Linked DNA regions of Macaca fascicularis. The main gene of each other region encodes a partner of the protein of the gene in region 2 in a complex. Links are inferred from orthologs where the notes say so. Each region holds a gene or a part of one and is shown on either strand. Other genes may lie near its edges.

Region 1 (3,559 bases), on a different chromosome or scaffold from region 2:
TGGTTGAGGGCTCTTCCTCTGCCGCTCGCTTCCTGGGAAGAGAAGAAGCCGCTGGGAGTCCACGCCCTCCCTCGGCCCCTCCTGACTTGTCTGTATCTCCATACGGCCCTCCCGGTATAGGACCAACCCCTCCCACCTGCTGCTCCCACGTCCCCCTGAATTCGATGGCTTCCACCCACAGAGGCCCCGGCCAGGCCTTCAGAGGTAGTCCCTCGGCTGCAGAGGCCACACAGCACAAGCCCATGCCCAGGTCCAGTGCCCGTGGCTTTCTTGCCCCTCTGGATCTGACCCTCAGACCTCAGTCAGCCCTAGGAAACACCATGGGAAACAGAGAGGCCAACCGCGCGGCACTCACGTGGCTGCTGGGTTGATGTACTTGCCCACGCCCTGGCGGAAGGTCTGGGGGCCCTGGCTCCCTGCCTCGGGCTGGCTGCTCTTCACTTTGGTCTCCGGGGCTGCCTCGAGCTGTGTCTTCCGCTCCTGGGCGATCTGTGGCACAAGAGGGTGGAGGCTGACCAGCAGCACCTCGGGCAGGACAGATGCTAGGCTTGGGGTGGGAAGGTGCGCTGGCCCAGACCCTCCTGGTGGTGGCATCGTGCCCCCTCACCTGGGCATCAGCCTCCTCATAGGGGTCCACGAACACTGTAGTGGCATCGATGCGGATCTCCTCCTAGCAGCAGAGGGGACTCAGTGCACGGCAGGTCCTCCCCCCGCCTGCCTGGCCCCCAGCCGCCACGCCCCACCTCCCTGGGCACAGACCTTAGGGCGGTCAGTTTTGGGGTCACTCTCCACATTCTCCATGGCTGTCAGTACGTCAAAGCCCCCAACAACACTGCAGCAGGGAGACAGAGGCGGGTCTGCATGTGCTCAAGGAGGGCACCCTCAGGGCCGGGCACCAAGGCATGTGGGAAGAGGGGTTGAGAGCCCCGAGGCTGGCCTGGTGGTCCTCGGGCAGCAGCCAGGAAGGCGATGAGAGGGCGTGGCAAGGGCGGGGTCAGCAGACCATGGCCCTGGGCATATCCAGCTGGGTTTTTTTTCTGGTTCTCTTTTGGTTCCCCACCCACAGGAAAAATAGGAGTCACAAATGTGGCTTGTGCTGTCCCCACTGGTTTGGTAACAGAGTTCCACTTGGCCAGAACCACATCACCTGCATCCACCTTGTTTTGTGCTGCTTCCACACAGTTGGGTGGGCGTCAAGAGACCACGCGGCCCACAATGCTGGAAAGACCCCTGGACTAGAGGGTGAAGGGAGCTGGGCGTGGCCAGGCTTGTGAGTGGCGCGCCATCAGGTCTGAGACAGGGCAGCGGCCAGGCCACGCAGGGGTGTTTCCTCCTCTCCTGAGCCCGGTGGGTCTGGAGAGCCAGACTTCCCTGGCACAGGGAGCACCCTCTGTCCCAGCTCTGCATAGCCTCAACCCCCAGCAGTGACAGCCAGCACGGCACATGGCTCAGGTCCACAGAGAAGGCAGCGAGGAGGCCTCAGGTGGGGAAGGACCCCACCTAGCCCACTGACCCCCAGGCTTCACACAGCCGCTTCCCTTACCGTCCAAAGATGGTGTGCTTCTTATCCAGGTAGGCACAGGAGCGAAACGTGATGAAGCTGGGGAGGAGGGTTGGATGGTTAGGGAGAGCATGGCACCTTCTGCATCTGGCCTGCCTGAGAGCACACCAGGAGCTGCCCACCCTCTACAGTCGGCTCTGGGAACCTGCGGCTTCCGTGGACACGTGGGTGCATGGGGCTCCCTGCTGCTGCCCACCAGGGCAGGTCATCAGCTCCCCAAGGCTGCCCAGGGAACCCCGGACCTCCAGCTGTCCCCAGGTCCTCCTGCTGCCCCGGCTGCTGCCCAGTGCCTGTCAGGGAGTCCCTGTGCCCAGAGCCAGCCTGGTCATGCAGGTCTGTGGGAGGTGGCTGGGACAAGGTGACACCTGGAAAACCAGAGCCAGCCCCGTGCCATCAAGGGACCTGTCGAAGGACTGAGGAGAAAGGAGGCAACAAAGCCAGAGCAGAAATCAAGGGATTCAGAAACGTGGGTAACATAAACATGGACAAAGAAAATGCTCAGGTCATCCAGACACAGTGGCTCACGCCTGTAATCCCAGCACTTTGGCAGGCCGAGGCAGGAAGACCGCTTGAGTCCAGGAGTTGAAGAACAGCTGGGGCAATAGCGTGAACCCTGGAGGCAGAGGTTGCAGTGAGTTGAGATGGCACCACTGCACTCCAGCCTGGGTGACAGAGCGAGTCGCCGTCTTAAAAAAAAAAATTTCCGGCCGGGCGCGGTGGCTCAAGCCTGTAATCCCAGCACTTTGGGAGGCCGAGACAGGCGGATCACGAGGTCAGGAGATCGAGACCATCCTGGCTGACACAGTGAAACCCCGTCTCTACTAAAAAATACAAAAAAACTAGCCGGGCGAGGTGGCGGGCGCCTGTAGTCCCAGCTACTCGGGAGGCTGAGGCAGGAGAATGGCGTAAACCCAGGAGGCAGAGCTTGCAGTGAGCCAAGATCACGCCACTGCACTCCAGCCTGGGCGGCAGAGCGAGACTCTGTCTCAAAAAAAAAAAAAAAGCCGGGCATGGTGGCTCAAGCCTGTAATCCCAGCACTTTGGGAGGCCGAGACGGGCGGATCACGAGGTCAGGAGATCGAGACCATCCTGGCTAACACAATGAAACCCCGTCTCCACTAAAAATACAAAAAAATTAGCCGGGCGTGGTGGCGGCGCCTGTAGTCCCAGCTACTCGGGAGGCTGAGGCAGGAGAATGGCGGGAACCCGGGAGGCGGAGCTTGCAGTGAGCCGAGATCGCGCCACTGCACTCCAGCCTGGGCGACAGAGCGAGACTCCGCCTCAAAAAAAAAAAAAAAAAAAAAAAATTTCCAGGAGGAGCTTGCCTCGGGATGGTTCTTTTACTTTCCTCGTATCTGAGTTTAATTCTGCTTCTAGTTTCCTTCACTGTGTTAGAAATCAGCCAGAGAGAACCACTTGCAGGTCAGAGCGCAGGTCTGCCCCATTGTAGACGTGACATCTGTGGACACTTGTCTGGTGGCCTTGGGGGTGGTCAGACTCGGTGGGCTCAGGATCATGTCCCTGCGTGGCTGGGGGGGTGCATGTTCGATGCAGCGGGGGTTAGGTCCTGTCTCTCACCAGCAGGGTATGTGGGCTGTGCCTGCCTGCACCACCCTGGGGTGCTCCGTGCCACCAGTGCTGGGACCCACCCAGTATCTTCCACTGTATTCCTTTCAGCCTCTCTGGCTCTGCCCTCTGAGGGCTTTTTGAAGGCTCACAGCTGGGGTCTGTCGCGTTCTCATTCATCCCAAAAGTCTTTTTTTTTTTTCCCTTTGAGACGGAGTCTCGCTGTCACCCAGGTTGCAGTGCAGTGGCGCGATCTTGGCTCACTGCAACGTCTGCCTCCCGGGTTCAAGCGATTCTCGTGCCTCAGCCACCCAAGTAGCTGGAATTACAGGTGCCCACCACCATGCCTGGCTAATTTTTATATTTTTAGTAGAGACATGGTTTCACCATGTTGGCCAGGCTGGTCTTAAACTACTGGCCTCAGGTGATCCG
Region 2 (4,360 bases):
ATCCTTCAATCCAATCAAGTTGATATTCAGAATTAACCATCACAGATAGTATTGTGGGTTTTTAAATATATAAATACAAATGTTCATCTCCAGATCCATCTCCTGTGCCCTGTATTGGTACACCAAAGTGCACCATCAACAATGGCCAAATATCTTAAATATGAAATAAAATAGATAACACTATTGTATACTAGCAATTATCTTAAACGTATCTTGTGAATCAACTAATTCAATTCTTACAACTACTGCATGAATGGGTACTACTAGTATTTCCATTTAACAGATCAGGAAACGGCCACAGAATGTGAAGTTACTTGCCCCAATCATCCATAAATAATCAAAGGACTCAAGATTCAAACGTAAGTAGTCCAACTGCAGTGTTTTTATTCTTAATTCTCACACTTTGCCTCCAGAAAGGAGTGGAAGCACAGCACCCTAAAACTGTAATAGAGAAGTGTGTGGAGAAATCAGGCCTGGTTTATGAAAGATTTGATAACATAAAGATATTCTTGTTTTAGAAAGAGAGTTTCCAAAATAGTAAGTAGTTGAACTTTTACGTTTTGTTACTAGTGAAAAGTGAAGTTTAAAGAAACAATTTGTTTGATGCCCTAGTTCTGCATGCTGTACAAACTGCTACTTCCTACTCAGCCAGGCAATCTCCTTATTCTCAGGTCATACCAGTTGGTACCTTACCTTAAAAGACAGGCAACATAGTCTCTACAGAATTATTTTTTCCTCATTATTTCACTCTATTTATGATCTAATATTCTCCCATTCTCTTGGCTTGGATGTCTTGGAATTTATTAGGCACTTGACTCTTGGTCAAACTCTTATAAAAAAAAGTCTCAAGAAAATCTCTCACTTAAGATTTTCAAGGAAAGTGACAACTGACTACTAAAAAAAAAAAAAAATTCCCAAAATGCAGTGAAATACTTTTAGATTAAAGTAAATTTGCCTAGACCCTAAACACTGCTAGGCTGCCAGTCAGCAGCGTGGATGTTAACTCGCTGGCGCGCATCTGTATGAACTACAATTCCCATCGTACACCGCGCCATTTCACCGCTAAACTACAATTATGCTTTCGTCATTTCCGTCAGCACAGGTGCTGGATTTCGGACTTTGTAGTTCATGCCAACTTCTTTTTAGTCGCCATTTTGATAAGAATACAGTGTGCCTGGATCGACTGCTTTGACTCTGGCATTATGATATGGTATCTGAAATAAATTAAAAGGATAACGCGTCAAGCCAATTGAGCGTCAAGTTTTTATGTATTTCAGTATCTGCCTTGTTCCTACTGTCGGTGCTCGGGAAGAGGAAGTGACGTACATCCGGTGTAATGGCGGCGCGGTGCAGCTTTAGGTAATTATCGAACTCCGCGGAGTCCCCGTAGGCACCGAAGCGGAGCGGGGGTGGCGGGTTGTCGGGTCGGGTGGGAAGTGAAAGACCCTGAGGAGTGGGTGCGGGCTCACTGATACGGCTGTGAGCGGCATTGGAGTGTGCGTGGGTCTTCCCGCCACGCTCGGGCCCGCGAGAGGGGTGTGAGAGTGGCTGGGTCCGAGGAGTCCAAGCGGGTGGGGAGCGAATGGGCTGCGGTGAACTGACTGACTGCCTGAGCGGACCGGCTGACCTTCCTTGTGAGGTTCCTGCAGCTGTCTGAAGTCCTGCACCAACGCTGGTGCTCTGTTGTTTCGTGTGCGGTGTGTTTTATACTTAGAGCCTCTGGAGTCCATTGGGCTTGCCAAAGCCCCTTTCCCAGTGCCTGGGGAGTGGGATTAATGAGCTCTAGTTGATTAAAAGTTAGTTGAAGTACTTGCACTCTTATGCCTCTTTCCGGCGTTATATCCCTTTGGCTATTTGTTTTACGTTTCATTAGCGGTTTCTTTTTCATTTATTTGCCCTGTAAATACTGATAGTTTCTAGAGTTTAGTTTTGAAGACGCTTCGCTTCTCTTGTGTCCTCTTCACCTGTCATTCTTGATCCTTACATAACTTGAACTATCTCCAATGAGGTAATAACTGCTAAACTTGGGTGTCCAGACTCCACCTCTCTAAGGAGCTTTGGGTCCTGTAACACAGCATTATAGAACGGAAATATAATCGTTAATTTCACTGAGTTTAACTGCAAAAACTACCATACCTATTTCCACTTAATCCTAACAATTCTTTTGAGGTAATTGGAGAAGGCAGGATTTGGAGAAAGGCTATTCTAGATGCAAGAATTAGGTAAGAGTTTCCTTTGCATTTTTGGATGTGCAGAGACTCGAAATAGCAGATAAACAAACAAATTGGGTCCTCAGCAGATCAGTTAACCTACCTCTTATCCGTATTTAGACTTATCTTGTTGTAGGATTGCTTGTGAATTCAGGAGTTAACACAGATTATCCTACTATGCAAGGGCAGATTTAAAATTGACATTAAAAGTGTGGTTTTGACCAGGAGAGGAGAAGCCTTGTTACAGGCCTTATCAGTAGGTTGAGGAAAGCTACTTTTGTTGGTCCTGGGTGATGGACTAGTAGACCAAAGATTTCAGTTTTATTTAGCTATTATTAGGTCTGTCACTTGGAGCAAGTTAAAGTCTCTATTATATATAGTCAGCTTCATCATCTGAAAACATGTAGGTAATAATACAATACCTGCCTCACTGTGTTGTCTTTTTTTGAGTATAAAGAAAATAATGCAGATGAGGCACTGAGCACAGTGCCTGATATACAGTGTTAGCTTTGTATTATTGTAAATTGCTACTATGATACAGTTGATGAGTTCTGTCTGTGCCTCAGTTCTTGCCCTCTGGGTCTGAGTGTTGCCTTTCCACCTTTAAGTGTCCTTCCAGGTTTTTTTTTTTTTTGAGACGGAGTCTCACTCTGTCGCCCAGGCTGGAGTGCAGTGGCGGATCTTGGCTCGCTGCAAGCTCCGCCTTTCGAGTTCACGCCATTCTCCTGCCTCAGCCTCCCGAGTAGCTGGGACTACAGGCGCCAGCCACTACGCCCTGCTAATTTTTTTTATTTTTAGTAGAGACGGGGTTTCACCATGTTAGCCAGGATGGTGTCTATCTCCTGACCTCGTGATCCACCCACCTCAGCCTCCCAAAGTGCTGGGATTACAGGGTGAGCCGCTGCGCTCGGCCAGTGCCCTTCTAGTTTTAAGTGTCCATGCCACTTTTATGGAGTCTTACCCAACTCAATTGACTGGGGCTCTGAGACCGTCTTGGTTATAAGTTAAAGGCCAAGAACTTTGATCTAATACCCTGGTCTAGTGGTTCCAAAAATGTGGTCTCCTGAATCAGCAACATCTCTTTGAAGCTTATTAGCAATGTAAATTACTGGGCTTCACCCAGTTCTGTTGAATCAGAAACGTAGAAATGCAGGCCCAACAGTTTTGTTTTTTTTTTTGGGTTTTTTTGCGCCAAAGCGTTCGAGTGATTCTCATGCCAGTTAGTTTGAAAACTTCTGCTCTAGCCCATCTTTTAGGGGCATGCTATGGTTCATCCTCCCCCTGTCCTCAGAATCAGGTTTGTTTCCCTCCTTGCTCCAAAGTACTTGATCCATGGCCAGCCAGTATTTATTATTATGCCACCACATCCTTCCCTGCTTTGGATAGATTACCTCCAATCACTTTTTGGAGTTCTGACACTTCCTAGACTACCTGGTTTTTCTAAGCGAGCTTTCTTAGCTCTATTAGCTTTCCCAGCTGTTGAATTTTTAGAAGTTAATTCTTCTGTTGGGGCGCGATGGCTCATGCCTGCATTCCCAGCACTTTGGGAGGCCACGGCAGGCGGATCACTTGAGATCAGCAGTTCGAGACCAGCCTGGCCAACATGGTGAAACCCTGTCTCTACTAAAAATACAAAAATATGTAGCAGGGTGTGGTGCTGTGCATTTGTAGCCCCAGCTACTCGGGTGGCTGAGGCAGGAGAATCACTTGAACCTGGAGGCGGAGGTTGCGGTGAGCCGAGATCACTCCACTGCACTCCAGCTTGGGTGATAAAGTGAGCCTCTGTCTCAAGAAAAAGAAGAAGAAAAAGAAAAGAAGTTAACTCTCCTTCCCCATGATTGAACATTGTTGAATGACCTACAGTGGCTTGTACCTGAGACCACCCAGAAGACAGCACGGTGACACATTTTGTATTTCAAATGCCCATGCCTTAACTTGAATAATAATTTCAGTTTATTGTCCACCTGTATTTAGATGGAATTTTGTACTACCTATCATATCCCTAACTTGGTCATGGTTTGTTCATGGTGCCTGGAGCTAGTCCAAGAAAGAAGTGGCTATTAGTAATACATCTGATCCGACTTATAACTTTGAAGGCTCCCTTGTTGAATTTCCCCACTTTTCTGTTTATCTGAGCATGGGAGGGTGGT

Evidence for each region. The genes of interacting proteins can lie anywhere in the genome.
Region 1: CWC22 (region 2) and PPIL2 share a complex: the UniProt entries of both Homo sapiens proteins name them as parts of the minor spliceosome. The link is inferred for Macaca fascicularis from reciprocal best matches to the Homo sapiens genes CWC22 and PPIL2.

Annotation. Positions count from the first base shown.
Region 1 is NC_088384.1:31,438,526-31,442,084, forward strand, and holds part of PPIL2 (RING-type E3 ubiquitin-protein ligase PPIL2), read right to left. Parts: intron 1,601-3,559; coding exon 1,544-1,600; intron 833-1,543; coding exon 760-832; intron 671-759; coding exon 608-670; intron 490-607; coding exon 356-489; intron 33-355; coding exon 1-32. UniProt on the Homo sapiens protein: Has a ubiquitin-protein ligase activity acting as an E3 ubiquitin protein ligase or as an ubiquitin-ubiquitin ligase promoting elongation of ubiquitin chains on substrates.
Region 2 is NC_088386.1:75,564,026-75,568,385, reverse strand, and holds the start of CWC22 (pre-mRNA-splicing factor CWC22 homolog), read left to right. Parts: upstream 1-1,319; 5' UTR 1,320-1,359; intron 1,360-4,360. UniProt on the Homo sapiens protein: Required for pre-mRNA splicing as component of the spliceosome. As a component of the minor spliceosome, involved in the splicing of U12-type introns in pre-mRNAs. Promotes exon-junction complex (EJC) assembly.